4 linked regions of the Oryzias latipes genome follow. The protein of the gene in region 2 interacts with the protein of the main gene of each other region in a biochemical or structural test. Links are inferred from orthologs where the notes say so. Each region holds a gene or a part of one and is shown on either strand. Other genes may lie near its edges.

Evidence for each region.
Region 1: the proteins of pdzk1 (region 2) and cftr form a complex in vitro, tested with the Homo sapiens proteins (2 studies listed by BioGRID and IntAct, with this or other methods). The link is inferred for Oryzias latipes from reciprocal best matches to the Homo sapiens genes PDZK1 and CFTR.
Region 3: the proteins of pdzk1 (region 2) and slc15a5 interact in a test that uses a peptide from one of them, tested with the Homo sapiens proteins (2 studies listed by IntAct, with this or other methods). The link is inferred for Oryzias latipes from reciprocal best matches to the Homo sapiens genes PDZK1 and SLC15A5.
Region 4: the proteins of pdzk1 (region 2) and slc34a1 form a complex in vitro, tested with the Homo sapiens proteins (2 studies listed by BioGRID and IntAct, with this or other methods). The link is inferred for Oryzias latipes from reciprocal best matches to the Homo sapiens genes PDZK1 and SLC34A1.

Annotation. Positions count from the first base shown.
Region 1 is NC_019864.2:3,312,343-3,319,954, forward strand, and holds part of cftr (cystic fibrosis transmembrane conductance regulator), read left to right. Parts: intron 1-2,892; coding exon 2,893-3,001; intron 3,002-4,555; coding exon 4,556-4,771; intron 4,772-5,965; coding exon 5,966-6,055; intron 6,056-6,777; coding exon 6,778-6,941; intron 6,942-7,125; coding exon 7,126-7,251; intron 7,252-7,612. UniProt on the Homo sapiens protein: Epithelial ion channel that plays an important role in the regulation of epithelial ion and water transport and fluid homeostasis. Mediates the transport of chloride ions across the cell membrane.
Region 2 is NC_019879.2:25,367,201-25,375,379, reverse strand, and holds the start of pdzk1 (Na(+)/H(+) exchange regulatory cofactor NHE-RF3), read left to right. Parts: upstream 1-3,035; 5' UTR 3,036-3,198; intron 3,199-4,368; 5' UTR 4,369-4,370; coding exon 4,371-4,577; intron 4,578-4,654; coding exon 4,655-4,880; intron 4,881-7,286; coding exon 7,287-7,619; intron 7,620-7,885; coding exon 7,886-8,082; intron 8,083-8,158; coding exon 8,159-8,179. UniProt on the Homo sapiens protein: A scaffold protein that connects plasma membrane proteins and regulatory components, regulating their surface expression in epithelial cells apical domains.
Region 3 is NC_019864.2:31,087,091-31,095,481, reverse strand, and holds slc15a5 (solute carrier family 15 member 5), read left to right. Parts: upstream 1-4,103; 5' UTR 4,104-5,132; coding exon 5,133-5,839; intron 5,840-6,575; coding exon 6,576-6,745; intron 6,746-6,821; coding exon 6,822-7,229; intron 7,230-7,344; coding exon 7,345-7,575; intron 7,576-7,646; coding exon 7,647-7,778; intron 7,779-7,859; coding exon 7,860-7,968; intron 7,969-8,036; coding exon 8,037-8,121; 3' UTR 8,122-8,321; downstream 8,322-8,391. Other genes in the region: ras-related protein Rab-19, read right to left, coding at 595-789; ccdc34 (coiled-coil domain-containing protein 34), read right to left, coding at 1,942-2,117, 2,220-2,349, 2,437-2,595, 2,671-2,778, 2,853-3,069, 3,346-3,554. UniProt on the Homo sapiens protein: Proton oligopeptide cotransporter.
Region 4 is NC_019868.2:16,452,748-16,460,359, reverse strand, and holds part of slc34a1 (sodium-dependent phosphate transport protein 2A), read right to left. Parts: intron 7,212-7,612; 5' UTR 7,204-7,211; coding exon 7,038-7,203; intron 6,634-7,037; coding exon 6,487-6,633; intron 6,213-6,486; coding exon 6,069-6,212; intron 3,213-6,068; coding exon 3,101-3,212; intron 2,605-3,100; coding exon 2,409-2,604; intron 676-2,408; coding exon 595-675; intron 472-594; coding exon 405-471; intron 318-404; coding exon 150-317; intron 9-149; coding exon 1-8.

The sequences.
Region 1 (7,612 bases), on a different chromosome or scaffold from region 2:
TAAGATGGCACAAGGGTTAATATGAGTTAAGTGGGCTTTATTTTTCTTTTAAAACCCCTTTGTTTATGCCTAAAAGATTTCAAATCTTATTCTCCTTTTATTTTAAAAATAAACTGTGTGGGACCCCTGATAAAAGCATCTCATTAGGGGGGGTTCATTTTTTCCATGTTTGTATTTTGAGGTGATTTGTTGTTTGTGACACATCATGGAAAACTAAACTAAACTAAACTCAACCTGAATTCTTTTCGTTTGCTCTCTGTAGATTTCCTGTAAAAGAAACAAATGCGATCATGTTTGGTCTACGATGAAAGTTTCTGCTGTTCTGTTCTGTTCAGCTGTCATGGATGCATAGAAATTGTATTTTGCTCAACTGTGGTGAATTGTAAAAATAAGAAGACTGATATAGAGATGTGCTTGTTGATGAAAAAATATTAGGATAAACATAAACTGAGCTGGAATCTTCAGCGGTTTTTCTTTGGAATTTAGGAGAGATCAGCATTTTTTAAGGCTTTTGTTACTCTGTTAAGGTCAGTAGTGGCTTTCCAAGAGTTCGGTCTCATAGTAGCTCCTCTGGTTGTTTCTGCTGTAATATATTTGCTCACACTGAAAAAGAAGTAGCCTAAAGGCCCGTACACACCGGGACGAATATTCGCCAGGCGTTATTCGCCAGCGTTTTTCGCCACGTTTTTTGTGTTCACACCCAGGCGATTTTCGCTGACGATGAGTGGAATGAACATGCAATTTCATTCCCTGACATTAGATGGCGCTTAATGTAAAACAGAAATACTCCTGTACACAAGGTGGCGCTGCGCAACTTTACGCTTCTTAAAGTCGCTTTTCACTCAGAAGAAGAGAGCAAGTATTTACACGCTTGTCAGAATCAAACAAAGAAAACATGAATATTTCAAGCACCAGTAGCTCCAACTGGTACTTGGTTCGGGGATATTTTAGAATGTCCGTCATTATTGCTTCGCGGTTGTGTAGACGCTACTTGGCGTCTATCTTCTTCGCTGGTATGTGTGCTCAGCAAGGCAGTTTTGTGTTTGAGCGCCCCCAAGTTGTGTTTTACTGTAACTTCAGAAGCTCCAGACACGTGAGCAAAAGCGCCATTCTCATTGGTCGAGTAGATTTCGACGCGACGCGTCGAAAAAAAAAAACGAACCCGAGGCGTTTTTTTTTTTTGACGCTTTAACGCCTGGCGTTTTTTCGCGTCGGTGTGCACACTCTCGTTGGTGCCCTTTGTTTAGTCACGAGGCGTTAAACGTCGGCGAAAATCGCCGGCGAAATTCGTCCCGGTGTGAACATGGGAAAAGAACACCAATCACAAGGAAGTATACCAAAATGATCTGTCCATGCAGCAGCAAACTTTAACTTAATAATGAATCTTATTAGATAAAACATTCCAGAAACAAGGGGTTTGACACAAGCACTCAAAAGGAAAAACTGAGCTATATGCCACTTTTGGATAGAATTACTTCAAATTGAACATTATCCATGACAGTAGTAAGAGATTTTTTTTTGCTTGTTCTTAACACATGGTTTGTGTTTTTTGAGTTTTATGTATGATTGTAGTTCAAACAGAGATAAAAAAGTGTAATTAGCGGAAATGACTCATTTTAAAATAAAATGTGAACTAAATGTGACTAAGTTCTTAGTTGGACCATCTCAATAAACCCTCATAAAATCTAAAACCGGCACTTGTTCTTTGAACAGAAATCTGGATGGGAATAATGACAATGAATGCCAGTCTAACTTGTCAACATTTATTTTGATAATTTTTGAGTTTTAAATCAAGTTTTTCTATTGTCAGGAGTATGTAGCAAAATGATTTTAACTTATTTTTATTATGATTTCCTAACTTCTTGATCCTAGCTGTTAACGAGAATTCTCAACTATTTGAGAAAAGCTTAGAGCAAAGAAAAAGTTCAAACAACGTTTAACCTGGTAAAATACCTTGAATGTCTAAAAACAAAGGTTTTAAATTCTTGCTGTTTATGGCTGTTAAGAACATTTTTCACTTTGTTACAAAACCGGAACATTAGTCCCATCTTTCCCCTTCATCTGTTTGTCTTGACTTTTCCCAACAACTGCAGAGAGATGGATCCCACTTTGCTTTTTCCATCCTTTCAGCCTTTTCTCACTTTGAATGGAGCAGACAAACCAGTTAATGTTCATGGGTGGTAAAAAGTTAACCTTTAAAAGATTCCCAGTGCTCACCAGCTGATAAATGACTGGTTGATTTTGGCCTCATTTGGCCTCAGTAGCTGAGCAGAGATTCTGAGAATGTGAACTTTACCTTCTCCTGACGCATGACCCTGTCGGCCGCTCTGTCAGCATCAGCTTAGTCCAATTCAATGACCTCTACCAAAAACCCTTTACATACCCGTGTGCTGCTTCACCTCACAGCCTGCGCTGTAGCTTAACAAGAAATACGCAAAGTGCACAGCTTTTAGGGAAAATAAAGATAAAATGATACATACAAATTGTATTTATAGAACAGATTAGTGAACAGATATTTATTTTATTATTAGTCGCTCATTATGGCGAGGACAATGACATGGGTGGTACTGTTTCACGTGCCTCCCCTGACTGCACGGTTCCTAGTAAAAAAAGGATTTTGATGAAGAAGAAAAACCACCGAACCGATCCCAAACCCGTCCAAATTATGTCAACCTGCCCAAAGGAATTTTTGCCCACAAATAGAAACCAAAACTGTCCAATTGGGCAGGAAACCACCCAATCTGGCAACACTGCTCCTGAACTTAGATTGTTGCCAAAGTAGTAGCATGCAAATGGCATGTAGAGTCCATCTTGGTTGACATGTGGATGATAGATGTGCTATTCTCTGCCTGAATGCTGCTAAAGTGTGCTGTAACTCTTGACACCCTGCAGAGAATGGGACAGAGAGGTGGTGTCATCCAAGAGGCCCAGGCTGCTGAAAGCACTGGCTCGCTGTTTCTTCCTGCCCTTCGCCTTCTTTGGTATCCTTCTCTACCTCGGGGTGAGTGTCAGAAAGATTCTGAAGTCTGATTAAACACAGTTGGGATGTCTTTATTAAATAGAATGGTTATAATCCAAGATAAAGGGATTAGTCTTCATCTAAATGAAACAATCTCAGGGCATCATACAAAACTTTCTATGAGAATGTGTGACCCTGCATTAGAATGGGGACCTGTCCAGGTATACTCCAATTTCACCCCACAGTCGCTGGGATGGGCTCCATTGATGAGGACAATTGATCAGCAGCAAAACAGAGCAAAATGGACACTGCTGCTTACATTAATCTGTGAATCTGAGGATATATTCAGACGGCACAATTGGTTTGCTTAAACTCAACCACAGTTCCTTTCCTCCGACAATCCAGAACAAATTTTCAGTCTGAATACACTCAAGTGGATCCTGGTCCTGGACCAAGAACCGCTCTCTGACCCATATTTGGAGGTGGTCTTGGTTCGTTTCCAATCGGACTGAGCTTCAGTTCGCTCTGAGATTCTTCTGTCTGAATACAATCCTTTCTCAGAACAACTGAACCAAAAAAGCCACCTTCGGTGAGCATTATGGGTTGTAAACAGAGTAGTTAAGCTGTGGGTATACGTGAAGCCATAACAAGACACAGCAACTCATTGAAATGTAGCCGGATAAATGCTGGCTCATTAGAATAATTTTTACCTACCTTTAACTAAAATTGCTTCTCACAGTTTTCCCAACAATCTATATGTCATAAACACTTATCAGTGTACCCTCTTAGCCGTCTTCTTGCCAACAATCGGCCTGCAGCATGCCTCCACTTTCCCAAAGTAAAAGGTGTTGTACCTGACAAGGTGTTGTACAGACATTCAGAATTGGTCTGCGAAATATAAAGTTTGAATCAGTCATCCTTTCTGCCTTTCATTGTTTTGCCCCACCCTCGTAATTCATGGCCAATGATTGAGTAGATCCTCAGTCATGTGCTTTTGTTTACAAACCTTGGTTCGAAACTGAAATGTCCGCTTCACGGAAGTCTGAGTACAGACCAAGAGCAAGGTTCACGACTCAATCTGGACCAAATTAAGCAGACAGGGTCCAGACCGATGGACTTTTCCTGTCTGTGCACATGTATAAGGGGAAGGGGATTAACAAAATCATGTTTTCTTAAGGTAAATTACTTCCAGTGAACTGTTCTTTCTCCAAAAACCTGGTTGACAAGTTCTATTGAGCATCCTATAGAGCAGCCACTGGATGGAAAAGGTACAGAGAAGTTGACATTGAATTAACATTGAAATAGAAGCTTTCATTCCAAACACTGAATTGCTAAAACACAATTGGTAATTTTTTTTCTTGTAAATCAATTAAGTCAAAAGAAAGTCAGTCAGTGCTGAGCCAAAGAAACAGATGCTGGTAAAACCAATAAAAACAAAACCTGAAGACGAAAAACATTTGTGATTGTGTTAATAATAGTGGGATTCATTTAAATGATCAGAAATTGACTACAATGAAAACATACTCAGCTTTGGCAGCAGAAATGCAGAAGAATGTTGAGGAGGAGAGGAGCGTGACAATCTACCTGACTTTGCAGGAAGCTTCAAAGACTGTGCAGCCTCAGCTTTCTGGACGCATTATTGCTTCCTTCGATCCATTCCATTCTCCAGAGCGACAGCAGGGATACTACCTGGCCCTGGGACTGGGCCTTCTCCTCACTGCTCGTTTCATTCTCCTGCAGCCCGCCATTTTCGGCCTTCATCACCTTGGCATGCAGATTCGCATTGCTCTTTTTAGTCTTATTTACAAGAAGGTAAGAACAGTACATGTTTGACAACAACATTTGATTTTCTTCTTTTAGAAATGTGCATGGATTTTTATTCAAATATTTGAGTAAAACCCCAAAAAGTTGATAGTTTACTGTAGTATTTTGATCTCAAATGTTTTTTAGTTAGCTGAAAATCCAATACTATTGATATTAAATCTTTGAAATGGCATTTTGTCATTTGTGTGAAAGACACAACACAACTTACTGTGTGTAAAGAGTTGTGGTAGATGACGATAACATGATCTATTTAACATTATTTGACAAAATGAGCCAAAAAAGGAAAACAGGGGTTTTAAACTACTGTCAAAGATTTTCATGAGTGGAAAGTCCACACCCCTACCACTTGAAAGCAGGCTACACCAAATCTGGCCAACAAATTGAATGTCCGAGTTGGGAGCCAGATTAAATACTTTCAATTTGGAAATAACCTCATCTACCTTCTTATCAAACTGTTTCACTTTGTTTTACTTTAAAAATTACACACTTTATACACTTTTCTCAGACAGACATGAACATTTTCACACTTTTTGTCAAGGTTCAAACCTTCATTGAAAAATAAGTCCAGCATTAAAGAATGAAAACAAAAAGCTGATCGCAAAGCTTTAAGCAAATGTAAAAAGCGGAAAGCATTTTGCACAAGAGACACGGCACAGAGGAGGTTGATTTATAAGGTCAACAGTCAATCAGGATGCTGAACCCAAAACAGCAAGACCATGAAAGCTGAAACATGACAAAGTGGGATCACTTCAAATTTGTATTTCATTAACCTTCTGTGACTGATGAAGGCAGCTGTACCTCGGAGATGAAACAGTCATCTCTAATTCATAGGGTTGATGGCTTGATAATTACCACAGTCTCAGTTCAAGTGTCTTTGGACAAGGCACTAAATTGTATTTGCCATTCATTCTAAAACCGATTTATAATTTAGCCTTTTCTGACACTTAAAGCCACAATGGAATGTGTTTGCTGAGATGTGTTTTGGTCATGTGATAGACTCGCTAGATGAATGGATTTCCCTCTGTTTTACATTGGATGTCCTTGGCCTAAATCCTTTCACGCTACACCTTTCCTAAAATCTTCTTGCATGACCCAAGTGTCGCACAAGTTGTCTGACTTTTCAAAGTCCAGTTTACTTTCACATTTGTGCCTTTGTTGATCCCTGACATTTCAACGTTCCAGACCCTGAAGCTCTCCAGCAAAGTCTTGGACAAGATCACCACAGGCCAGCTCGTCAGTCTGATGTCTGCCCACCTCAACAAGCTGGATGAGGTAAGAGTCAAGACATTCCTATGAGAAGAAAAGTTTACTTGATCCGCTAGAAAACCCCAAAAGCTGAGTTTGAAATCTGTGAAGCACATGCAGAATCAGAATAACCATTAATAATTATACGCTTTGGCTGTTTCCCATGAAAGTCAAATTTTAAAATTCTTCTCAGTGTCCATGCTACCACCAGAGCCTTCTCCTCTGTAATGAAGACAATACCAGATATACATGACTGAGTTTTATTACCTAAACAAAGGTTACGTCATTTGTTGTGACAGTGTTGAGAAAACCGTATCCATGCAAAGTAAGTGTAGGAAGTGAAGACCTGTGTGGATTGTCAGCTGTTTTGCCTAAAGTCTCACTGAGGTGTTGAATGTAGAAACACTTTGTGCCTGCTTTGGGACAATTATCACCTGACTTACATCTGGCTTGTATAATATGAATAACTGGTTTGGTGTAGTTTTGCTGTTTGGAGATCAAAGAGATGCAGGAGTTGGCCGTTCTTTATTTAACGTTCTTGTGTGACGATTTCAGTGTAGCATGCAACTTTCACATCCCCCTTTCACTTTGCAGTATATCCCACAGAGTCACATCAAAGACGTGTGGTAACGCAACACTTTTTGTTTAAGATTAAGGCGATGTCATGAAGGACAGGACTTAGAAAAGTGACCCTGTCTTCTGCAAAATGCAATGCAAACAAATACAACATGTGTTGGTGTGCGTTCCAGAGTCTGGGTCTTGCACACTTTGTGTGGATCACGCCCCTGCAGTGTATGCTGTGTGCGGGTCTGGTTTGGGAGCTGATTGAGGTGAACTCCCTCTGGGGTTTATTGGCCATGATCTTACTGGGAATTTTCCAAGCCTGGCTCTCGATGACAATGACGCCTCCTCGGTAAGAACTCATGGCTCATTGTAACTATACTGGACATCAGTACCAACAGTACAATTTTGAGTCTGCCCCTTGTCTTCTAAATAGTAATAGCTTTGAATAACTTCTTATTTAATATCAGTCTTAAATACAAGGGGGTGGTTATTTGAAATCTCTGAACTGCTGCCTTCTTGTCTCCTGTGAACAGCGCAAAGAGAGCTGCATTCACCAGTCGTCGGCTGGCTCTCACCTCAGAAATCATGGAAAACATCCATTCTGTCAAAGCCTATGGCTGGGAAGAGGTGATGGAGACAATAATTAAGAACATTAGGAAGTAAGTTACACCTACACACTCAGCATTAACACATACAAATCCGGTTTTACTTTGAGTGTTTTCCTGTTTCTATCGATTTTACATTACACTTTCAATAAGTATTACCATTCATTTCAGATCAATTTCGTATTTTTTTGGCAAAGAAAAAGTAAAAATTTTATTCCCTGAGCTCATTAACTTATTGTTTGACAGAAACTAAATAAACTTCAACTGAATCTAAGAGCTTAGATTACAGCAACAGTAATGTGTTTTACTGTGGCGAGTCCTGCATTTATTTCCCGGGCTTTCAGGGCTGTAAATTTTTATCCTTCTTATATCAACACACGAAAAATGTTTCAGAGAGATAACACTACTGCTCAAC
Region 2 (8,179 bases):
TGTAGGGAAAGGAATCTATGCATCTCCAGCCTGAACTACAGTATTTGGATTTATTCTTGTTGAGAATTTTTGTGCCATAAAAAAGTATCAGAGTGCCACGAAAGAAGCAGAAAAGTGAAGGCCGTTCACGCAGATTCAATGCATACGTTAAAAGGTTTTGTAAATGGAAACATTAGAGATCATGGATATGCTTACCATTTGTGACATAGATGTCATGTGCAAGTTCATTTGAGAGCAAAGAAATAGCCTGCATTTTCTAAATTAATAGTACTTTTTTTGTAATACATACTTTTTATGTTCCAATAAAAGAACCCATATTTCTGGAACAATTCTATGTGATGCTTATAGATTTTATCATCCTTCATTTATTTTCTAATGACACCAGATGAGTCTGTTGTGAGCAACTCATTACAAAAGTAACATACTACAGTCAGTTTTGCTGTAGAAAAGTACTGTAGGGTATTAATAATGCATTTTGAGTAAAGGTTAACTATTGTGTGTGTTACAATAGATTAACCATCCAAAAGGCAATTTTTCAAAGTTTGTATTTAATCACTTAAATTCAATTCAAGCTTTTTATTCATTTTGGCCAAACTTACTGAACCCAATTTCTTGTAAAGTTTCATAGACAGCAAATAAAACAACGATTAAGCCTCTAGCATCCATCAATAAACAAGCACTTATAGGATTCTTGATGGAGAATCACGACAACGTCATCATTGCAAAAATACTAATCAAACTTCAAATGTTAAGCTTTAAAAAACAAACAGCAAATTTACGGCTGTTGTTTTAGATAACGGCTCCTCCAGCGCTCAAAACCTTGGCCAGGTTGACATCCGAAGAAATGAGCAGAACAACAAGATCCAGTGCAGGATACCTTAAAGAAGGACTGTTCTTGTCCAGGCCAATCAGCATTTTCTTATTACTAACTACCAATGCACTTAAAATGATTCAAAACTTCCCTTTGGCACGAATATGAAGCAATTATTTTTAACAAACAGACATGTCAGCATTTTTAAATATGTAGTATTTTAAGAAGTAAAACAGTATTTACAAAACTATAAATGATCTCAAATAATGTATTATGAGAAGTAGTGTTTTTGTTTTGTCTTGTTATATTACGAAATGATTGTACCTTTTAGGTAATTGCCATGTGTTGTTTTATGCTAATTGTTAATTCTTGTATTTGTACGTCTTGAGGACTGCAGATGGAGAGCTATGGTCTGGTACCATGTCCCTTTTCTTTGACTGATGCTCCTGTACATGGTCCCTCTCAAATCTGATTAACCCTTGTACTATCCTAGGCACTTTAACATTGGGAGTAGGGTCATCTAGACCCACTACACAGTGCATTGAACCTTTTTTCTTCAATGATTTGTGATCTTCACTGGTGTCCATGGATTACATGAAATCTTTCCACCTTTATCCACCTTTGTCATGGTAGGAAAAACACGTCAATGTAAGGGTGGGGTCATCTTAGATAGCACAAGGGTTATCTAAACTAGACCCAGACACTTTCTTTCATATATGTGCTCTGTATAGGCGTCGACCATTCTGATTTTTTCCACCAAGCTAACATCTGTCTGTCCTGTTGTTACAGAACATCAGGTTTCAGTCCGGTCCAACAAAAGAACACAAATATAATTAATATAAATAAAAATTAGTCTAAATTACAAATGGGGTTAATTCAAATATACACCTTGTGTGTCAGAAGATTCATAACCCCATGTTGTAACAGTAAAATATGTCTAACACAAGAGGCCTTCATCCACTTTTGTTTCAATTTTCTTAAGTAGGAAGAATTTGTTTGAGCCTTTCTGAGGGAAAAAAGCCTCAGATTCTCCCTTTAGTCTCTTTTTTCCCCCTCATTCTTCAATGTAGATGTTTAAAGCTGAGGGTTTTTCCTGTGCTTTTATTGGACCAAAAATAAATGATCATTATTCATGATTAAATCATATTGCTCCTTACGTGACTATAAAATAATTGCTCTGCTATACATTTTTAGCTTCAGATTTAATGTTCCACATCTCAAGATTTTACAAAGAAACAAACTTAATGCACACAATACAATGCGGAGACAGTATAAAAATAAGTAATTACTTTTACATAACGAGCAATCTGTTACGTAACACAGTTTGGAAGTAACTTGCACAACACTGTTGTCGGAATGCAATAACCATATAAACAGGAGGCCCCACCCAAGCTTCACCTGGACGTCATGTTAATGTTGCTGAAAAAGTCCTGACTTTACAGAGTGAAGTCCTAAGTGCAGCCTTTGCTTCTAAGCTGCAGGTTGTTTCTGTGAAAGATCAAAATCTGGTTAAGTCTGCAAGTGAGGACCAACTCTTCCAAAAAATAAAAAGGGAGGATGTGGCTTTTTGTTGCTTTGTCCTTTGCAAAGTTGCTCAAAACACAACAATAAAATAAAATGGTGTTTTAAAGAAATTCCTCAAAAAATGAAGTTAGTCAGTTAAAGTTAAACAAAAACAAGGATTTATAATAGAGCTGCTGCAGGGCTGAGTCCATGTGGGGGGTGTCTAAGGGCAGGGATGCCAGTTTAGCTTAGTCAGTTTTTTTAGTTCATTTTAGTATTTTCCTATTGAACGCTTTGTATTCGTGATCCTTTTGAGTTCACGTTTTACTTTGAAGCCCATCGAGACGACTGTTGTTGTGATTTTGGGCTACACAAATAAAATTGAATTGAATTGAATTGAATGTGGTTTTTTTTGTTATTTTCTGACTAAAAACATAAGAACAAAAACAACTTTTATGGTTTATATTTAACCTACTAGTAATCTATAGATTAAGGGATTAAACTATGTTCCTAAAGCGCATTCAAAAAAACAGCTGGTAAAAAAGAATCTTTTATTATGGTTATAAACGGATGGCACGCACTTCATGTTTTCTGTGATGCATGAACTGTAATTGCTTAATTGCCGCCCACTTGGTGGACCTTTGACCACAGAGCAGGTGACTGCCTTTTCTGCAGGCGCAGATTGAACAGCACCATTGCCTCTCCAGACATTCACGACACAAGACACTGTTAAATAACTCAACCTTTAGGTCCACCTTTGGCCCGCCAAAGTCCCCGCTCAGAGATGAAGAGGAGGGTCGGGGACAGGCCGAGGGAACAATAACAGGTAATCGGTGACAGGTGGAATCTCTCTTCAGACTTGGACACTGAACAGGTGAGAGCTGGTGAGTGAGCACGCTTTTAAAAAATGCATTTTAAAGTAATTTGTATGGCGAATCTGGATCCGATTTTTTGTTTGATTATTTTTGTTTTGGTACATTTTATGTGTTGTACACTGACTCTATTCAGAAATGTCCTTAGATTAATTTAAAAAATGATAGATGATAAGTATTGTAAGCCACAACTTTCCTTTATATACTATATTATTTAAAAAAAATGCATTTATGTTCATCTTGACCCCAAAAGATTGAAAATTTTTTGTATAAATGAAAGGAAACATTTTTTGTGACGATGACTGTCTTTAGCATGCGTGAACTTCTTACTTTACCCGTCCAAACAGACATAGCAGCACACAAAGGGAATGACTCTGACAGTCCTTGTTATGCATGTCCATGTGAGTGCTGCATGCTCCGTAGACAGCTGTGCCTCCCATTAACTATTAACCGGCGCTCCAAAGCTTTCATGGAAGATTAACTCTTCATCTGGAATTATCAGCACTTCTGTGGCAGCTTTATGTCCAGGATTATTTGGTAATTTAGTTATGTTTACAAGACTAAACCAATGACACATGGGTGGGAGCAGATAAAAACTGATGATTTTAGCATCAGTAAGACAGATCAGGCTCCTCAGTGGTGTAGTGGTGCAGTGGTTGGCACTCTTGCCCCACAGTGAGAAGGCACTGGTTCAAATCCCAGCTGGGTCCTTTCTGTGTGGAGTTTGCACTTTTATTTTTTGGAGTTTGATGGGTTTTTTCTTCATCACACAGTCCAAAAACATGCTTCATAGGTTAATTGGTTACTCTGAAGCCTGGGTGTCCCTCGTCTTCACCCAACAGCAGCCAGGACAGGCTCCAGCAACCCCATGACCCCGAAAGGGATATAGCAGTTTAACCCTTGTGCCATCTTAGATGACGCCACCCTTGCATTGACATGTTCAGCGCACTGTCTAGTGGGTCTAGATGACCCAACTCCCACTCTTAAAGTGCCTAGGATAGCACAAGGGTTACGAAAACAGATGAATAATTAGCTGTACCAAACTTGTTATTATTGTTTTTCATAATGCTAGAGCATTCAATGAACTAAAAATGTCGATTCAAAGTTTGTTTTCATGTGCTTAGGTTTCACGATTTATGTTTTTCCTAAATTGATGAGTGATGTTTTTTGTTTTATTTTCAGACATGGCCGCGTACAAGCCAAGGGTGATTTCTCTGACTAAAAAGCCGAGACAGACCTTCGGCTTCTTTTTGAGGATGGAGCTTGGCGAGGAGGGTCACCTGATCCGCTCTCTGGAAATGGGAGGCCCAGCCGAACTGGCGGGCATCAAAGACGGAGACCGCATCATCCGAGTCAACGGAACATTTGTCGATGGGCTGTCCCACACGGAGGTGAGCTCCTCGTAACGTCTCCTTGATAATCCAGGATCAAACACGTCTTCCTTTGTCCCTTTTTTTTTTATTTTCAGGTTGTGGAGCTGGTGAAAAACAGCGGAACATCAGTCACATTCCACATTATGGACGAGTCAACTTATAAGGAAGCAAAGGCAAAAGGGGTCAACCTCTCTGAACAACACAGCACAGTGGGGTCAAAGGTCATTGCCAACGGAGTGGCCAAAGGGGATCCAAAACCTAAACTCTGCTACTTGGTGAAATCGGCTTCAGGATTCGAGTTTTCTCTTTTCACGAGTAACGGTGAGCTCAGAATCAGGAACTTCAGATAAATCCCCTTCGTATCCTCAGTGAGGGTAACAGAAGGGTGATTCTGTAGGAAACATCTTTAGCTTGAGTAAAGCATGATCTCCAATCATCTAGTATTAAATGGTCCATGTTATTGATCTTCATTATAACACAGTAATAGTCCACACATTTCATGACCACCAGCAGAAAACACAAAGAATTGACTTTGATGCAATTCTTTCTTCATCTAGTCCTTTTTTATTTTTTCACAGCAGGTAATGAAAGTTTGAAAAATATAAAAATGTAAATTGTTTTGATCTTATTTAATTATACTTAAAGTTTTTTTCTAGAAACAAATTTTTACTTTTAACCAAAGAAAATGTAAATAGAAAAATTTTACCTTAACTTGAAGAAAGAAATCTAATCTGTTAGAAAGAAATCCAGTTTTCTGAATTTAGGTGCATGGTGGTGATTAGATTAGATTAGATTAGATTAGATTAGATTAGAATAGAATAGAATAGAATAGAATAGAATAGAATAGAATAGAATAGAATAGAATAGAATAGAATAGAATAGAATAGACGTTGATCATTTTTATTTCAAAAATTAATTTGAATACATTTTCTTCACAGACTACGAAATGGCGAACAGACTTAATAACAGAACAGAGTAGTGAAAGAATTTGGACATTGCCATGATTAAAAATCCACTGGGAACACTTTGAAAATAACTCAAAAGATGATCTTTAAAACATTTGCCCCGGTTCCTACGCATAATTAATGCAATAAGAACAATACCAATAACCATCTGCAGACAAACTAAACTAAAGACGCCAAAAAAGGAAATATTTGTTGTATAAACTGGAAAAAAACAAATGACAAACATTTTTGTTTGTAGATACATAACTTTACGTTTATAAAAGGTAAATTACTGAAACAAGTAGAGGGGGTGTCAGTGCTGCATGTGGGTCATGTGTTTGATGAGTTTCATGAGCAGATGTTGTTGCTGCTTTCATGCCACACTGCTGTCATTTCTCCTCCATGTGATCACTCGAAATTACATCCAGTTGTGCTGGTGTCAGTGTTTGCTGGTAAAAGAGGTCTTCCACTGCTGGGAAGTGCCTTTCCTAAAGCTAATGTTTATGTCCGAAGTCCCTTCACTATTTAGTAAACTGTATAGTTGTGTTCGCCATTTTTTCGGGGTGTCCAAATCTACAATTCCATCATTTAGTGCTCTAGTAATTTCCCAGAAGTCTCTGCAAAAAACTAGTGCAGATCGATTCTTACTAGGTTGCCAAATATAGACCATAATGCATTGCGTTTGAAAGATTTTTCATTTCAAAACAAAAGAAGTTTTCATCATCAGAACACAGTGGATTCATTGTAAAATGTTCATATTTATTAGGTTTTTACTTCGGGAAGTCGTTACTCAGTACACATGGTTTTCGGATCGCTTTTCAAATCCAGGGCACAAGAAATCTCTGCATGACATCTTTTTTAGAAGTTAGGGCATGAGTGGGCAAACTTTTTCACCCCTGGGCCACAAAGTGTTCTACAGTATAATTTGACAGAAGGGCCGAAGCAGGAGCAGATGCATGGAGTGTTTTGGTGATCCACTTAATTATATATAGAAATAACATGGAAACTGAACAAAAACATGCTTTTGTCATGATTGACATTCAGTGTATATGTTTTTCTAAACAAAGCCTTTTGGAGTTATTTGTTCTAATTTTAGTGGTGATTGCACCAATGGGTCGATGCCCCTCAGGGGAAAACGCAAACTGAGAAAAATGCTGCGTTTAAGTCGTGTTGGAACGATCGGAAAATAACACACATGAATGTCAGAGAAACAACCAATTTTCCAACACCACATGAATGCAAAGTAATAGGTTTCTGGACCTGAACAAAGGTCAATGAAGTTGTTGTGCACCATGTAGAGCGACCCAATGGTGGTCCATGAGATCTACCACTCGGCGTGTTTTCCAGTTCTCTCTTGACTGCTTTCTGCTGATTAGCTGACTCAGGTGTCACCTTATTCTTATTGGCTGAACACCTGGGCCAGGGAGAAAGTGCAACGAGCTGCAAAGCAGACAGAATGGTAGATCTTGAGGAACAGGATTGGGCAGGCCTGGGATTATCCAAATAATTTATTCCAGATTAAATATTTGCCCCCGGGCCATAGTTTGTCCACCCCTGAGTTAGGGGGTAGAGAGGGAATCCACATATAGCCTTTCTAACTGTATTAATGATGAAAGTCAAACTGCTGCAAAACATTTTTAGGACCTGAAAAGGTCAAAGAGCATGCTGGAAGGTGGAAAGAGAAATGTACTGTGAAGTATCACTAGCATCCCAACAAGTCTTTTTCTGTCTAAATGGTGGCTAAAATGTTGCTTTTTGTTGTTGTTTTTACACTGATTTCTAGATGAGGAGGGTCTGTTCATTACAGAAGTGAGCCCAGGAGGCGTGGCACACAAGGCAGGCGTCAGAGCCAAAGACCGCCTGCTGGAGGTTAACGGAGAGAATGTGGAAGACTGCACACACGAACAGGTGGTGAATAAAATCAAACAAGCCGGGAACACCCTTATGTTTCTGCTGCTCGACGAGGACGCAGACAAGGTCTGCAGGAGCCAATATGCAAAAATGGGGTCGCGGTTGGCCACCGTCAAGTTTCTCCCTCACAAACCGCGTCTCGTCAACCTGACTAAAGGACCTGACGGATTTGGCTTCGTGCTCAGAGAGGAGCCCAAACAAGCAGGCAAGGCCACAATAATATAATGTTTTTTATAGCTTAATCCTTTAAGCCATATGAGCCGGCCTGTGCTTCCAAAGAACCGCAGAAATAATCATCCCCAATAAAAAAAAATTTAATAAATAAAGTCCTAAAATGATACCTAGACATCCAGAACATGCATTGTATATTCTGGTTTCATGGACTTTGGTTTACCTTTTGGATTTTAACTTAAAGTTTAAGGGGTAAAGAAGGAAGTTGTGGTTTGATATTTGTTCCTTGATTCCATACAGGACACTTCATAAAGGACATAGACAGAGACAGTCCAGCAGGAAGAGCAGGACTGAAAGAAATGGACCGACTGGTTGCAGTGGACGGCAAGGAGGTGGACAACTGCAGCCATGAGCAGGTGGTGGAAATGTTCAGGCAAGGTGGTGGTGAGTGCTGCCTCCTTGTGGTGGATCAAGAAACAGACCAAATGTATAAACTGGTGAGTTGTTCTCCATCTTCAACTGTGTTTGTCCTGTGAGAGAAACTGCTTTAGTAATATGCTTTGTGTGTCACAGGGGAAAGTTTCTCCTATGCTC
Region 3 (8,391 bases), on a different chromosome or scaffold from region 2:
AAGACCGGGGTTCTGCTCAAACCCAGGTGGGACTCAGCCGTACGCTGACAGGGACGCGGAGGAAACCAAAACAGGATCATTATCTGGCAGAAGCCTGATCACGCCATTTAGACAATTCAATGTTCTCCTTATTTTCTCATCAAAGTTTCCCAAATAGACAAGAGAAGAAGGCCGGGATCCTTCAGAGTCCGGGACAGGGAGGACCAGCATCAGAAACGGCCTGGAACCAGAACCGTCGTTTCCACAACAAACAAAACGACTGAAGTTGGCTTCCTGTTCACAGCTTCCGATGGCATGGGGCACTAAGCGAACATTCCACTGAGACCACCCAGAACCGGGTCCTGTTCCAAAACCACAGGCCCTGTAGACTAAACAATGTGTTTATGTATTCTTTACTATCTCAATCCTAATTTAATCCTGGTTTGAGCAGTCCAGGGCCAGCGGTTTTTAACAGGACCTGGACCTAGGTGGTCTCACTGTGAAGAATGTTCCTTCAGAAGCTGTGAATAGGAAGCTAACTTCAGCGTCGTCCAAACTGACCCGTTAGTCTGCGCTGAACTGTCAGAAAACATCCCAGACAGACAGAAGACCCACCTTCACCTTCTTCCCGTCAATATCCATGGTTTGAACGGTGAAGTCCACCCCGATGGTGTTCTGCTGCTTCTCCATGAAAACGCCAGACTTGAAGCTCTGGACCAGGCAGGTTTTCCCCACGTCCGAATCCCCCACCAGGATGATCTTGAACAGAAAGTCGAAGGAGTCCTCGCTGTCCGAGCAGGCAGACTGCATGCTGACAAAAACAGCGGCTTTCACAGCTCTGCGCCTCGACCAGCGCCTTCTGTTGAGTCAACAATAACTATTTACACAATTTACAGTCACATCCTCCAGAAAAAGACGAGGAGAATCTCCTTTAGGACAGCCGGAACATGTCAGCCAGACAGCCTTTTCCTAAAACAGCCACCGGGACAGAAGAGTGAGGACCGGTGGTTTCCCTCTGAAGAAAAGGAGGGGATCCCTCAGGAGGATCCAAATCCTTCCACCTGACAGGTGAAAGCCCGGTTCTTCATCCCAGCCTCAGACTTCAGCCTGCATTTGTGCCCTCTGGACTTCTCACTTTCATTCTATGATGGACACGCCCACTACCTGCCTTTGCAGGTGTGACCTCCAGCCGCCAGCCCACATGCACCACTGCATCCTGGAGCTTCAGTTTTCTGTCCAAACAGGTGGCGATACCTGGAAAAGGAGGAACAAGTCTGTGAATAATTCATGACCCCGTTGGCTGGTTAAACATTTCCATGTTCCCATAAATCTGAGGAAGCAGAGAGACGGAGGTCTTTATCTGATCAGCTGTTGGCGCTCACCGCCGTCTCGTCCACACATTCCCGTCAGGCGCTCTGGAACAAACATCAACGTTTTACCTTCACCAGACGGAGCACGCCGCTCCGACCTCCCTGCGCTCCCCCACACTGCTCCCTGCTGTCACCTCAGCCCGCAGAAGATCCAGCCGGACGCCAAACAATGGCGGCGTGTGAGCGACGCTGAGCAGCCGGCTCCTTCTGCTGCATCACCGGACCTCAGAGGAGCTTTGTGTGCCAGACGGGCTCTGAATGTGCAGCTTTTATGCAAACACAGAACAAGTTCAGAGTCTGGAGGACAGAAAACATGATCCCGGACTCTGAAATCACTTTTATTTTTCTATTTTACTTTCAAAGTAAAGTCAAGTATTGACATCCTGAAAAACGGATGAATCCATCGCAATATGGACTGAATGTGACAGCAGCTCCAAAGATGATGAAATGAAGCTTCTGAGGCTTTTGAGGCTTCAGATGTTTCTGTGGCTTTTAGGCCTCTGAAACCTCTAAAGGCTTTTGAGGCTTCAGAGGCTTTTCTGATTTCCAAAGCTTCTGAAGCTTTCGGGGCCTCTGAGGGCCACACAGTAAGTCATCTCCTCTGCAGCAGACGCGGCGTGCTCCCAGCGTTTGACCGTCTTAAAGCCCCGCGGTGACCCTGACCCTGGACAGGCGTCTTCTTCTGCGGGTTTTCCGGAGGGGCGTGGATGGGCTTCCAGGGGATTGGGTTGTAGAAGCTGGGAGCTGGGATCAGTCTGTCGTAGGGACCTTAAAGGAAACATATTTCTGAACTTCCTGTAAACATCCAGACTAACAAACGGCGGCTGCATCTCAGGCAGGAGCTCTGGTGAGTCCTTCAGGGGAACTCACTCGTTTGGTGACGAGGGGATTCGGGACTCGCTCTGCTTTTCTCATTGGCTTTAGCGAGCCACTCCTTAAACTTCTCCTCTGCCCTCCTGCGGCGCTCCTCCTCCTGCTCCCCCTTCAGGACTGCTATTTCCTGTTAGATCGTCAGACGCATGAAGATTTTTCACCCAGTTTTGAGAAAAATCCTTGAGAAATGTTGGTTTCCAGGAAGTCTTATTGCCTTCTCTTTCTTTTCCTTCTGTAGTTTTTCTTGGTTCTTCTTCTGCAGCCAGACGTTATACCTCTGCTGAGCTTTCTGCTCAACCTCCCTCTGTTTCTCCATCTCCTTCTGCATCTTCTCCTCCTCTGCTCTGTGTTTCACCAGCTGCTCCTGCATCTTCTATGTGAACGCAGAGAATGACTGCAGCCCTCATCACCATGTCACTAAAATCACTTGAAACTGACTGTTTCTTACGTGTTTTCTTTTCACTTTCAGCCATTCCTGAATCTTCTCTTCCATGACCATCCTTTTCCGTTCTTGCTCCTTCTCCTGCTGTTCTTCTTTTTCTTTCAGGATGCGTTCCTGGGATACAGGATGAGGAGACGTGAAAGAAAGAAGCAAGAGGAACGGAGAAAGAACTGCAACAAGAAACTTACTTCTTCTGCCTTCTTTTCCAGTTTAAGTCGCTCCTCTTTAGCTTTGCTCAATACCCATGTTTCCCACGCGCTGAGAGAAGCTGCAGACGGCTGGGCAGCAGACGGCTGGGCTGCAGACGGCTGGGCAGCAGACGGCTGGGCTGCAGACGGCTGGGATGCAGACGGCTGGGATGCAGACGGCTCCAGAGAAGATTTAGGAAGCTCACATCTAGAAGAGCTTCAGAAACAGACAGAATCAGAGCTGCGGAGCTTAAAACTGTCTTAGTAACCGATCCCCTTCAAACATCAGAACAGTGAGATGTTCTGTGGGTTCTGTCTGGGTTCCTCTCATCCACAGAAGAAGTGGAAGAAAAAGAGACCAGATGTTCCATTCAGCAGAACCTGAGATCAGCAGGACTCTGCAGCTGCTGACGAGATACTTTCTGATGCTTCCAGAGAAGCTGAGATGATGGAAGAAAGACAGAACCAGAACCAGAACCAGGACCAGCAGTACCTGTCTGGAGACCCGGGTCCCTGCAGCCGGATGGGGCTGGAGTTCAGCTCCTCTCCGTCGCTGTCGAAGCTGTCGTGGTAGATGGGAGACAGCAGAGAAAACGTGTCTTCGTCTCCGGTAGACTCCCCGGCTATGAGCTCCGTCGTTCGGTTGCTCTTAACCGGGGTTGAGCTGAACCCCCCCGACACGGACACCGGACAGTTTGGCATCCTTTTTCCGGTCAGTGGACCCAGATTTCTGCGGTGGAAGCCTCTAAATGTTGCAAACTAGTGTTCAGAAACGTTACAAGAACCAACGAAAGCCGGAAAACAAACGCAGAGCGGGATCAAAATGACGCTTTAGCTAGGCTAGGCTAACGTTAGCAAACAGTTAGCAAGAATAGCACGAGCTCGTATTTTCGCGCCACACAGATTAAGGTTTTATTGTTTTTCATCTCTAGAAAGACTTATCTGTGTAGAAAAAACCTTCGGTCCTGCTCCGGACATTCAGCGGTGGATTTACAGAGGAAAACGGGAAACGTTTAAAAACTTTGTTATTCCTTTGATAGGCCACGCCTCCAAGAGCCAAGGCACGCGGTCTCCGTTTCCATGGTGACGCCTGACGCCCTTTTTTGGTCTTGTTCAACTTTCAGCAATCCGACAGATGACGCTTGCAATATTGAAAATAAATATAGTGAATTTAGATTTGAACAGTTCCTCTGCGTTTTTATTTAGACGATTAAAGTAGATACATCAAAATAAACAACTAAAATGTAGTTTATTTATGTACAAAGATATATGTTAGTATTATAGCACACAAGCACAAACTCCCCCACAAATATATAAGCCTTTTATACTTTTCCTTTTTTCCTTTCTCTACATGTTTTTTGAGTTTATATTTGATGTAATTTTGAAAAAAAACATGTCACACTTTAGAGCTTTCTTAAAAAAGATTCTTTGCTTCAGAATGTCTGTTCTTGGTTGGTTGTTTATCCCACAGTTCTGTCCCGGTTGAAACCGAAATCTTGTTATTCTTTCCCAATTAACGTTCTGAGCCTAATTGGGGCCCAAAGGCAGCTCATGCAGCGGGTCACGCTTTCACAGAGACACGCCACATTCTGAGTGTGTGCATCAACACTGCGCGGCTGCTCAAAGCACTGATGCATTCTGGGTAAGTTAATGACAAATCTTTTTTCCCCTTAAGTACCGTAGGACATGACTTTGAGGTTTTCTTAAATCTCTCAGGGTTAAATTTTAACGTGGCGTGCAAACACAAGCGCCGGGAGGTGATTTGTGTGCAGCTCCACCTGAGCTCATGTCCATGACCTTTTCGCTCCACACCTGGAAACACGTGGAGCCTCACACCTGTTCACCAAAGTATTACATGGAAGACAGATTCTAAGACTGGAATGAAGCTGGTTTTAATGATGGGGAGTTGAAGCTCCTCATTGATCCAGACTGTAACAGGAAAACATTTTCAGATCATTTCTGCAATAACTTAACAGTAACTGTCTTGAAGCTGGAGATCCTGTTGGTTCCAACAACTTACTGGGGGTGTTCTCTAAATCACCCCCACCTCTCATTCCTTCTAGATGCAATTTTGCACAGAGTGTTAGATTCCCATCAGGATCACATAGTTCGGAGGGAGATCTACCAGCAGCCGGTCAGCGAGTGCCTGTGGTTCAGTGTCACACCAGCTTGTGGGATTCCAGATTGTGCCGCTGTTGCCTGCGTCACACAGCAGCAGGAAGCTTCTTTCAGTTCAGCGCTCCTCAGCAGACGGAGACGCCGCCGGGCCCTTCTCCTGCTATGGCGGCCGGAGAATTTCAGATTCTGCTGAAGGGCAGGAGCCCGGCGCCACGGTTGTCCCAGGGTCTTCCTCCGGAGCGGAGATCCCAGAGGAAACCCAGCAAAAAGCTCCGCGTTATCATCTGTGTGCTGCTGGTAGAGTTGTGTGAAAGGTTCACATTCTTTGGGATTGTTTGCAACATGATTCTCTTCTGCACCGTGAAGCTGGGCTACGACAACCGCCTGGCAGCAACTGTCAACCTGTGCTTCATCGGAGCCAGCACCCTGAGCCCCGTCCTGGTCGGCTGGTTCGCAGAAACCGTCCTAGGTAGAACTAAAGTGCTCTACTTGTGCACTCTTCTTCATTTCTTTGGTAAGAGAAGTTCCTACAAACATTACAGGGCCCCAAAAAAACAAAACACGAAACCCTCAAAGTTGATGCTCAGTTGTCCGGTTTCTTCTTGCTGCTGCCATGCCGTCTTCTCGTCACTGCTGTCCTCTTTAGGTACGGTCATGCTGCCTGTGGTGGCGTTCCCCTTTGAGGATTTCTACATCGACACTCATCACATGCTCCACAGGCTGGAAGCGCAGGAGCAGCAGATCCTGTTCTACACCGGCCTCCTGGCTGCTGCGCTGGGCATCGGCGGCATCCGGGCCGTTCTCTGTCCCATGGGGGCCTACAGCCTGCAGACCTACAACCAACACCAGCTGCTGTCCTTCTTCAACTGGTGGGTGGCGTGGAAGCAGAGCGTCCAGAGAGACCAGAATATAGTTTCTACCGGGTCAATAAGGTTCTCCCTGAACCGCTTGACGTCAGGTGTTCTTTCAATGGGACCACAAATTATAAAAGATGTCTCAAGATTTTGTCAAATTCTCCAAAATGTATTTAGGCGTGATGACAAATTCTGATAACCATAAAAGAAAATGGTTCAGTTGGTTAATTTCATCTTTATTTCTGGATATCTTAGTCCCCAAAGGAACTCATGAACAAATTCATGAGAAGGCTTTTCATAATGATGTGTCACAGACTGAAGGGAAAGATCTAGAATAATCATTTTAACAGCGACTGAAGACAATGCCGTCCATCTTCACTTATGCTGCAATTTTATAAAAATTCAAATTTGTTAATTAACCTGCTTCAAAACCTCCTCACAGATGCAGACGTAAACAGAACTGTACTTTTCCATCTGCACAGACTGATCTGAATAAAAATGTCATCTTAACCTCAGCTTTATTATAAAAGGAGAAGCTGATGGTTGAGAAATCCTGCAGTAGAAGATGCTGTTGGGCTAAAAACTGAAGGCTTTGTATCCAAAAGGTTGGAAAACATGAATATTACAACAAAAGACAACAATCAAGAGGACTGCTGTTACCTGTTCTTTAGAAATGTTGGCAGGTTTTACTCACCCGGCGTGGACATTGCAGCTTCTGCAAACGTCTGACGTTCTGCTCTGCTGGATTCAGGTTCTACTGGTTGGTGAACCTGAATTCCACGGTGGTGTTTCTGGGCATCGCCTACATCCAGCAGTCTGTGGCTCAGAACCTGGGCTTCCTCATCCCCTTCACCTCTGTGCTCCTGGCTCTCATCGCCATCCACATGACGCGCAGCAAACTCACCTACAGACCCAGAAAAGGTGACAGGAGGCCCTGACCCAAAGCAAGCAGCTCCTGCAGGCTCGCATCCTTCCCTGGCTCTTCTGTGTGTCTCAGGAGGGTCTCTGCTGACCACGCTGGGAGTCTTTCTGAACTCTCTGAAGATGTGCTGCCTCCACCGTCGCCACCTGAGTGGAGACGTGGTGTCTTGGCTGGACCGGGCCAAGGAGAACAACGGCGGTCGGTACAGTGAGAGGCATGTGGAGAGCGTCAAAGTCCTGACGGAGCTCTTCCCTCTCTACGGGCTGCAGCTGCTGTACAGGGCCTGCGTCACGCAGATCCCCTCCGGCTACTACATTCAGGCCATGAACTCCAACCTGCACCTGGACGTCCTGCTGCTGCCCATCGGCACCATGAACGTGGTCAGCATCCTGCCCCTGCTGCTGCTGGCTCCACTGGCTGAGTTTGTGACCACCTACCTCCTCTCGACGGGGAAAACTCCTCTGGCTCCTGCAAAGCTCATAGGTACGGCTGAGTTCGCCTTTCTACTCAAACCCGAGCTTATAGCATCTTCTTCTAAAAGTTCTGGCGTGTCTTTCACTCCCTTTCTGCTCCTGACATCACAACCCTCGTTCTGCAGCCCCTCTCTCACCAGCCCCCCCTGTCCATCCTCCCCTTCCAGCTCTGGGACACGCGTGTGCCGCTCTGTCTGTTCTGGGGGCAGGCGTGTCGGAGATGTGGAGGAGGCTCCACCCCTTGGTGGAGCAGACTCTGTCTGGAAAGGTTCTGCAGGTGTCGTCCATGCCGTGTTTCCACCTGGCGCCTCAGTACGTCCTGCTGGGCGTGGCAGAAGCCCTCGTCACCCCTGCATGTGCGTGAAGGAGCATCCATGGTGGCATTTTCCTCCTGACTTCCTTCCTAACCACCCGTCCTCTCTGCCAGGTTCCCTCATTTCCTTCCAGCTGACCCCGAGCCACATCAGAGGAATCTCCCTGCATTTCCTCACCCTGTCCTACGGAGGGGGCTGTTTTCTAGGAGCCCTCATCCTTCAGCTGGTGCACGCCGTCTCAGGAGGTGCAACGGGAATCAAACTGCAGGTTGCATGTTGTCCTCTTAGCCTGAATAACTGTGAACTACAAACATCTACTCCAACAGGTGACTTCTACCCAAATTCACTTCAAGATGGGAATCTGGAGGGGTTCTTCTTCATCCTGTCCACCCTGATGGCTGTGAACACCCTGCTGTTCTGGAGAGTGTCGTGCAGGTAGGGCATCATGGAAACATCCCAAAGCATCAAGGGAAATGAGCTGGAGTCGTCCTGCCCGTGTGCAGGTACGTGGACCTGAGCGTGCGAGGAGGAGCCCGGAGCTGCAAAGCCCCTCTGCGCTTCTACGACACCACCGACCCGGCCGTGTGACCTTCCTGCTGGTGGCGCTGCGTGTTGTTGTCTGCATGAGGGAGTTTTCACCCAGAATTCAAAGGTGACAATTCAATGTGAAAAATTACTATTCAATCTGGAAAATGGGCTGCACGGTGGCGCAGTGGTTAGCGCTCTTGCCTCACAACAAGAAGGTCCCCGATTCAAGTCCTGGCTGGGGGACCTGAACCAGAACACCAGTGGGGGGCCTTTCTGTTTGCATGTTTTCCCCGTGCATGCATGCGTTTTCTCCGGGGTCTCCGACTCCCT
Region 4 (7,612 bases), on a different chromosome or scaffold from region 2:
AGGCAGGTCTGTCAGGATATAATTAAAAGATAAGTATTAAAAAACTGTTGCACAGTCTAAACAACGCTTGACTCTTACCAAATGATGTTTTGAGGTTTAGTACTTCTAATGGCACTACTGACTTTCTGCTGCTCACTTCATTAACTCACCTGTGTTAATGACTTTATGGATGACCTTTGCTACTTGGCCTTTAAGAAGAGAGTTAAGCAGCTTGACTAGAAGTAGCAGACATGAGCAGAGGACCACCAGAGAAGCAGCCAGGAGAATAAGACCCACCGTGAGGTCTGACAACTCAGTGGATGCAAACAGATGTTTACCTACAAAGAAAACAAAAACACAGATTTTGAGATTTTTTTTCACTTCATTTTTATCTTCTAAAACGTCAAAACACTGATGTTACTTGCATTTAACACGTGACGACGATGGAAAATCGTTACTTCCACAGTTGTCAAAGCTCCCATTGCCAGCAGACTAGAAAGAAACAAAGAAAGAAAGAAGCCATAGGTAAGGATGAGGAAAAGGTTTGACTTTAATCTTCAAATGCTGCATGTGAGACAAAATGTGCAGGAAAGAATGGCACAATAGAATGATTACCTGGCACCATTCCTTCACCAGGCTCTTGTTCCTCATGCCCTCATTTCCCATGGCAATCCCTGTGATCACACATTTCTCTAGCTAAGAGAAAAACAAGAAATTGTTTTAAATCATAGTAAAATAATGGGATGAGAAAAGATTCCTAATTATTTTACCCATTTGACAAGGCTTTACCACAGAGTTTAAGGTGCATGCAATGTGAATAAATGCACTGATGTTTTACCTGAACGCCTATTCTTACAATTATAAAACTGTTTTTATCTGGTGGTTTAAATTAACCTGTATTTAAAGTTACATTGCAGTCGGATAAATATTTAGAAAAATTGTCGGCAACATTTTTAAACGTCCTATAATTGGGTTGAAATAAAGAAATTTAAAGCTGCAATGTGCTAATTTTAGCAGAGTTAGGGTTAGTTAGGGTTGGGGTCTCCTTGGTCCAAGCAAAGATGTTTTTTTTAAATTTGGAGTTTAATTCCAGAGGAAAAATGTATCACGCCATATCTTTAACTTAACTTAATATACTTGTTTGTTTAATAAAAAAGAAACAATCTCTTGTGTTTTGTAACAGATAGATGATTAGCACCACATCCAAAAGTGTTGAAATTTAAGTCTCTCTCAAGTTGTGTCCAAATTCCTTTTCTCCTCACTACATAGTGTGCCATGTACTGTAGTGCATTTGCCATTTTTTAGCCGTTCGAATCTACAATTCCAAAAGTTGGGAGGGGCTGTAAGCTAGCAGGACGGCATGTGAACAAAGGGATGATAGGAAGGCTTACTCCACGCCAACATACCCGCCCACAACTTAGAAGTGAATTTCTAAGGAACTGCTACCGCTCTGCAGACACTATGTCCTGGAGAAAACATCCCCAAGTATTTGATTTTTGGCTAAAAATTGCTTAATCATAATTAAAAGACTACTGGGAATGCTTTTACAAAAGATCAAAAGATGATCGGAATGGAATTTTAAATTTAGAAGTGACATTGTTGCAATAATGCTAAAGGGCAAACCTTAATTGTTTGTAAAAACAATATTCAGAGATTTTGAGATAGATGGTACGTGTGATTATTTCAAAGTTCTGAATTTGGGATGCCATAGTTATGTCAGAGATTAGCCCTTTCTCTGTTATGGTGCCTGTCAGTCTCCTGCCCCTCCCCCTCCTGCTGTGCTCCTGACTCCACTAGCTGTTACCAATCCACCTCATCAACCGCTGCAGCTCTAAAGGAGATCCAGCTCCAGTATTCATCGCCAGTTCGTTGCCCCTTATGGTGACTAAACCTGGTCTCAGTCTTGCTCATGTTTTCAAAACTTAGTCTTGTCTCGACGCCAATATTATTCCCCTTGTCTCAGGATTCCAGCCTCCAAGTGTCACCTGTTCGGAAGTCAGATCGTGCCCTCCTGCGTACCTGTGGAAACTACACACTCTGCAAAGCCGCGTTATTACCTCCAGCCACGCCTCAAGCCGCAGTCCTCATCAGCCTCATTCCAAGCCACTACCATCTCTCCTGGAAGAAAAATAAAAACTCTTACTTACCTCTTACCTACCTGTGTCCTCATTCTGGGTTTCATTATCTGGGCCTGTCCATCCTACAAGTCATGACATTCTCCTCATTTTAAGGAGATACTGGTAGAATGACTCTATCTCCCACAGGCCACAGAGGGTAAAGCAGGCCTCTGTGACCCTAATTAAGAAAAGGGGGAATGTAGAAAATGGCTAGATTGTTGTCGCAGCAATGTGTCTCTCCATGATTGCATTTTGAAGGACAATTTTACAAAGTAGGATATTGAGAAAATGCTGCCTAGCTGTCATGTTTACCTGTATGATGAGTGTTGTTACTGGCTCAGTGATGACCTTTAGAAGCTCGGGGGCATCTTCTCCTGACTGGATTTGTAAGATGCTAACCAGGAGGTGGGACAGCCGGGTCATCAACCCACTCACCGCCTCCAGAGGCAGCAGGAACAGGACCGACAGCCAGTTGAAGCAGTCATGGATGGTTGCTCCAGCAAAGGCGCTGTGACAGGTCAAGAGAATTATGTTCTTTGAGGTCAGCCACCAATAAACGTGATCATTTACTCAAAGTAATTGATCCTAACTATGATTTTTAGGCCTGGACTACTCTGATTTTGAACTCCAGTGAAGGTTTTCATTGTTGACTGAGTCCAAAACATTAATATATTTAAATATGTTTATTTAAAAAATTGTAAAATAATATGCCATCTGTTGAGCCTAGAGTTATACCAGATATTTACTGCTGTAGTCAATTTGGACTGATGCCATTATTATCACGATTTTGAAATTACACTGAAACAGAGGTTAACAGTGAGAGCCAGCAAACAACTACCAATGCTTTCTCATCATCCCCCCTCGCTTTGTGCCCTGTGACTTTCATTACTTTTATCATTCCGTCTTCCATTTTTTTTTCTACCTACTTACCACTGGACTGATTCATTTCCATCCTCCCTGCTCCTCTGTTGTCTGTTCTCTGCCTTACCACACTCCTCACTCACCGCTGAAACTCATTTCTCTCTGCAGCTTGCATCATGGCCACTATGGTGTTTGTGACAGAAGTGCCAATATTGGACCCCATGATGACTGGAACTGCCGACTTCACTTCTAGCACTAGGAGAAGACGAAACAGAAGGTTTTGTTTTACATAATAAGATCATTGTGTCTATCCTCATGCATAGTAAATAAGCTAACTGCAACAGACAATGTATACATGTCCTCCACGTATAATTGATATGCACGGCGTGGAGTGTTTTGGAGCTGACTTGAGGTTGAATAGACGAGTGGTGATTGCGGTTTTAAAACCAGAGGAAGCACTCTCACAGGAGGGGTTAATGTTGCATGTGCCCTCATTGATATAGCATCCCGAACCCACTTCATGAAGAAATACAGTACAGACCAAAAGTTTGGACACACCCTCTCCTTTAAATGAATGGGAAGGTGTGTCCTAACTTTTGGTCTGTACTATATGTTTATGTTTTTTTATGCTGTGCTTTCCCATTTAAAAAAAAGGCCTCACAAATAGCTTCTTCACACTAATGCTTCCTTTCAGAAGAAAAACGTGGAACATGTAAAAGTCTTAATCCTTTTTTATTACTTATTAATGCCACATATCTTAGGTTTCCCAGGTCAGTTTTGAACAAGGACATCTCTTTTTTTAATGCAGTCTATATAAATATGCCACTAAAAGTAAACACTTTCATTGCAGCATTAATGTATTGTTAGCATTTTTTGTGCTCAGAAGTTTCAGAAACCTATTTATGCATCAGACATTTTTCATTACTCATTTATTTGAGCATGTAGTTTGATCTGTAACAAAAATACCCTGATTATAAGTTAGTGTGCAAACACTTTTGAAATGATTCCTTTCAACAAAAAAATTTAAAAAATTAATAAATTAATAAAAAAAATTATTTACCTTAATTTTTGATGTTTTCTGCAAAGTTTAATCTGAACTGGAAGTATCAAAAATATTTTTAATCTACACTCTTTAACTCATAGACGCCTGAATTTATTTTCAGGATTGAAAAATACATTTCACTCGTGTTTTTTCTTTCAAGTAGATGCAAAATGAAGGTAAGTCTGGAGCCAAAGAGGTGTCAAGGGGTTATCAGACCTTTTTTTCAAAATATATATATAAATATTTATCAAAATGCTCAAATATAACTTGTTATACTTTTAAATGTCTATATGAAATCATTATTTAGCCATCTGGAGACTAAATGTCACAATTGCACAATCAACGCAACATTTGTGCAAACTGCTGTCATAATTATTGCATGATTTTTATTTCAGAGCTAAAGGGAAAATCATTTTCCAAACAAATGTGCGCCAGCGTTTTACATTTTTCAGAAGCTGTTTTGGCTGTACAAAAAATAAATACCAACACTGATGGACCCACAGACATCCATTACCGCTGCAGCTGATACAGAGGCATGAAAGTGCTCAATATTTTGGCTCTCTGTGTTCATGTGACATCAACATGTGCATTTTTATTTAGGAAACCTGTGAAAATGTAATACAACCATAAATAGCTCCAGTGGCGTCAGCGTTACCCTTTAAACTCAGTCATAGCTGCATGTTTACTTTCACAGTTTTAGACATTTAAATATCGGTTTGCTCTGGGAATATTTCCGTAATGTTGGTCTTAAATAGAATGAATAGAAAGTCTTTTAAGGTCTTATTATAAGTATAAGGTAAAATAATGATTCTACCTTTACTTTTATATTAATTACTAATAAAGAGGAAATGAAAGAGTTGACGGTTCAGCTGCTTCTTTAATCTGCACTAATAGACAACTAAGGTTTAAACTCTGCAGGGAGCCAAACGTTTGTTCTGCGAGAACAATGGTCTTTCTGGCCAGGACATTTCACACTTGGCGAGCAGATACAGAGAAAGCTCTGTGATTGTATAGAGAGCTGATCAAAGTGTACAGTCACAGGACTCATCAGTTTGCACTAGAACAACTTTAACGTCTATAGACCTGGCGTCCGCATGTGTGGACATCACATGTTCGGTTATTTTACCACAGTAAACTTCTGAGACGTTGTGTCTACGTGTGTTGAGAGTTCGCTCAAATATTTGTTCAAGTCTTAAGAGGTTAATGCATTATTTTAGCCTTGTGTTGGTTGTCTTCCTGATCTTTCTAAAAATGTCAAAACATGCGAAACAAACAATCCTGACAGTAAAGCTCCTCTAAAGTCAAAGATTCAATAGCGGCTTGCTATTGAAATGGTCAATAATTTAGCTTCTAATTCAAAATTTAAAAATGCTGTGTATAAAAAATCAATCCAAGTGCAGTAGGATTGTCATTTAAAGAGGCAAAAACTGTAATAAAATTCAGAAAGTTAACCTGCCTACTTTTGTGTTGAAGTTAAACCTTTTTACTTTTGCATGAAGAGAATCTGACTTGCTGATGTGATATGTTTGACCTTTTGTCATCACATGGTGGATCACACGAAATTTTGATTAAGCTATTAGAAATTCGCTGCAAATTAAATGAAGAATAACAAGAACAAAGATCTCACTATTACAGAGCAAAAAGCAGCTTTAAATTCTTCAAAATCTTAGTAAACGTTTGTCCATTCAGTGTCATTTCTATTTACTAAATTAATCTTTTACATCATGGGAGAAAAAAGGATAAGAATTTACGGTAGCTTCTCTAGATAATACAGTCAGTGATTACTTAAACAGCCAGGCTGTCAGAATCAAAATATTTATTTGTTGCTGCCATCAAAGATTCAGCATCGACTATTTGCTCCTAATTGATTTATCAAGGTTTTCGTATTTATTGCTGTATCTATTCATGGGTAATGATAGTCTGCTGAGACACACAAGAATGAAAGGATTAAGCGCGCTGAACACAGACTAGATGATGCTGGCTCGGATGCCTTCTTTCAACCTCAAAACCTTATTTAAACTATGAAATATGCTGACATTTTTATATAAAACTCGAACGCGCCTACTCACATCCGGAGGCCACCAGGCTGACAACAATGGAGGTGGAGGTTGATGAGCTCTGAACGAGCACAGTAACCAGAATCCCCACCACCAGGCCAGCCACGGGGTTGGACAGCACCGCATTGTCCTTGAAAATGTCCCCTGCCACTTTACCTGGTTAAATATGCCACCCACATACACAGAAACACACAGGGACAGAAAAAAAGACCGGGGGATGAAAAGGTTGCCATGAGCAATGTTAAACATGACTCCAAATGCTTGTTTCCCCAAATTTATGAAGGTCACAGATGAAGCTTCCCAGTACATCACCCAGAGGGACTAAGGGGAGCAGCAAAGGTTGCTCCTCTGTGGCTATAGCTTATTTGTCAAACATCAACTCACTGAGTGATGATCGACACAGTGGGTGAGCAGTGAGAATTACACTTACCCCCTGCCAACTGGAAGGCAGAGCTCAGAGTGTCCAGGGAGCAAATAAAGAAGAAGAGAAGGATGAAGAGAAGAGGGACCTTGGATAAGTTGATAAGGAGCTGTTTGATCTTGTGTGGACTCACTTCTGAGGTCTGAGGGGGGGCTTCTGTAAAAAAAAAAAAAAAAAATCAAAACAGGTAGAAGGTTGTAGATAAAACAGCACAATGCTCAAGGAGTAATGGCACCGAAATCTGGAATTTTTCACGCAGCTGCATTTTTCTTTTATTCTCTGCATTCTGGGTTCTGGGTGAGAGTGATAACTTGAGCCACATGCAGAGAACAAAGCCATCTTCCATGCACCATTACCCGAGTGCAGCCAGACACCACTGCGGGACAGTATGGCCACATGGTCACACTACGGCTGTGTCTTTTTTTTTTTTAAGCATGTCCTTGTCCGATAAGCCTTTGGCTCGGCTTCTGCAGTTATAATTAGTCTTTTCAAAGGAAATCAAACCAGCTGCCACTCCTTGAGATGAAAGTAAGATACTCCTATTGATGACCATCTTGTACCGTTCTCTCTGGGAAGTCTGTCTGCCGCTCTGAACGAAGGTGAACCAAAGGGCTGATTTGTATGTTTGCCGTCACCCTTGCTGCTGCTTGTGAGGTCAAGGGTGGAGCCGATGCCGGACTCCGTGTCTTCGTCCAGCCTGGGCTTTGGATGCCGGGAAGTGTGCATCCTCAAGCCTGATTTTAAAAAAAGAAAAGCAAAATAGTGAAAAAGTTCTCTTATAGAATGGAAAGAGATGGCATTTCAAGGAGAAAACGATGGCCGTTTTTGTTATCACGGTCTTTGAGCCCTGCACTCTGTCCAGAAGACACTATAGCCAGAGTGTGAGAGGACATATGGGGCTTTGAGGGCTATGAAAGTAATTAAAATCCCAGGATGACATCGCTGTGGAGGGGAAAGATGAGCGAATATTTGTTTATCAGCCACCTGCAGTAGTTAAAAGAAGAGCGGACCAGTGTGCATCTACACAAGAACTTCTCCAAAAAAAAAAACACTGAGAGCAAAAAGAGACTCACGTTGAGCTAAAGTGGCAGATTTAAAGTCAGATTGATCGTGCATAACGAATTATGTCAGAATC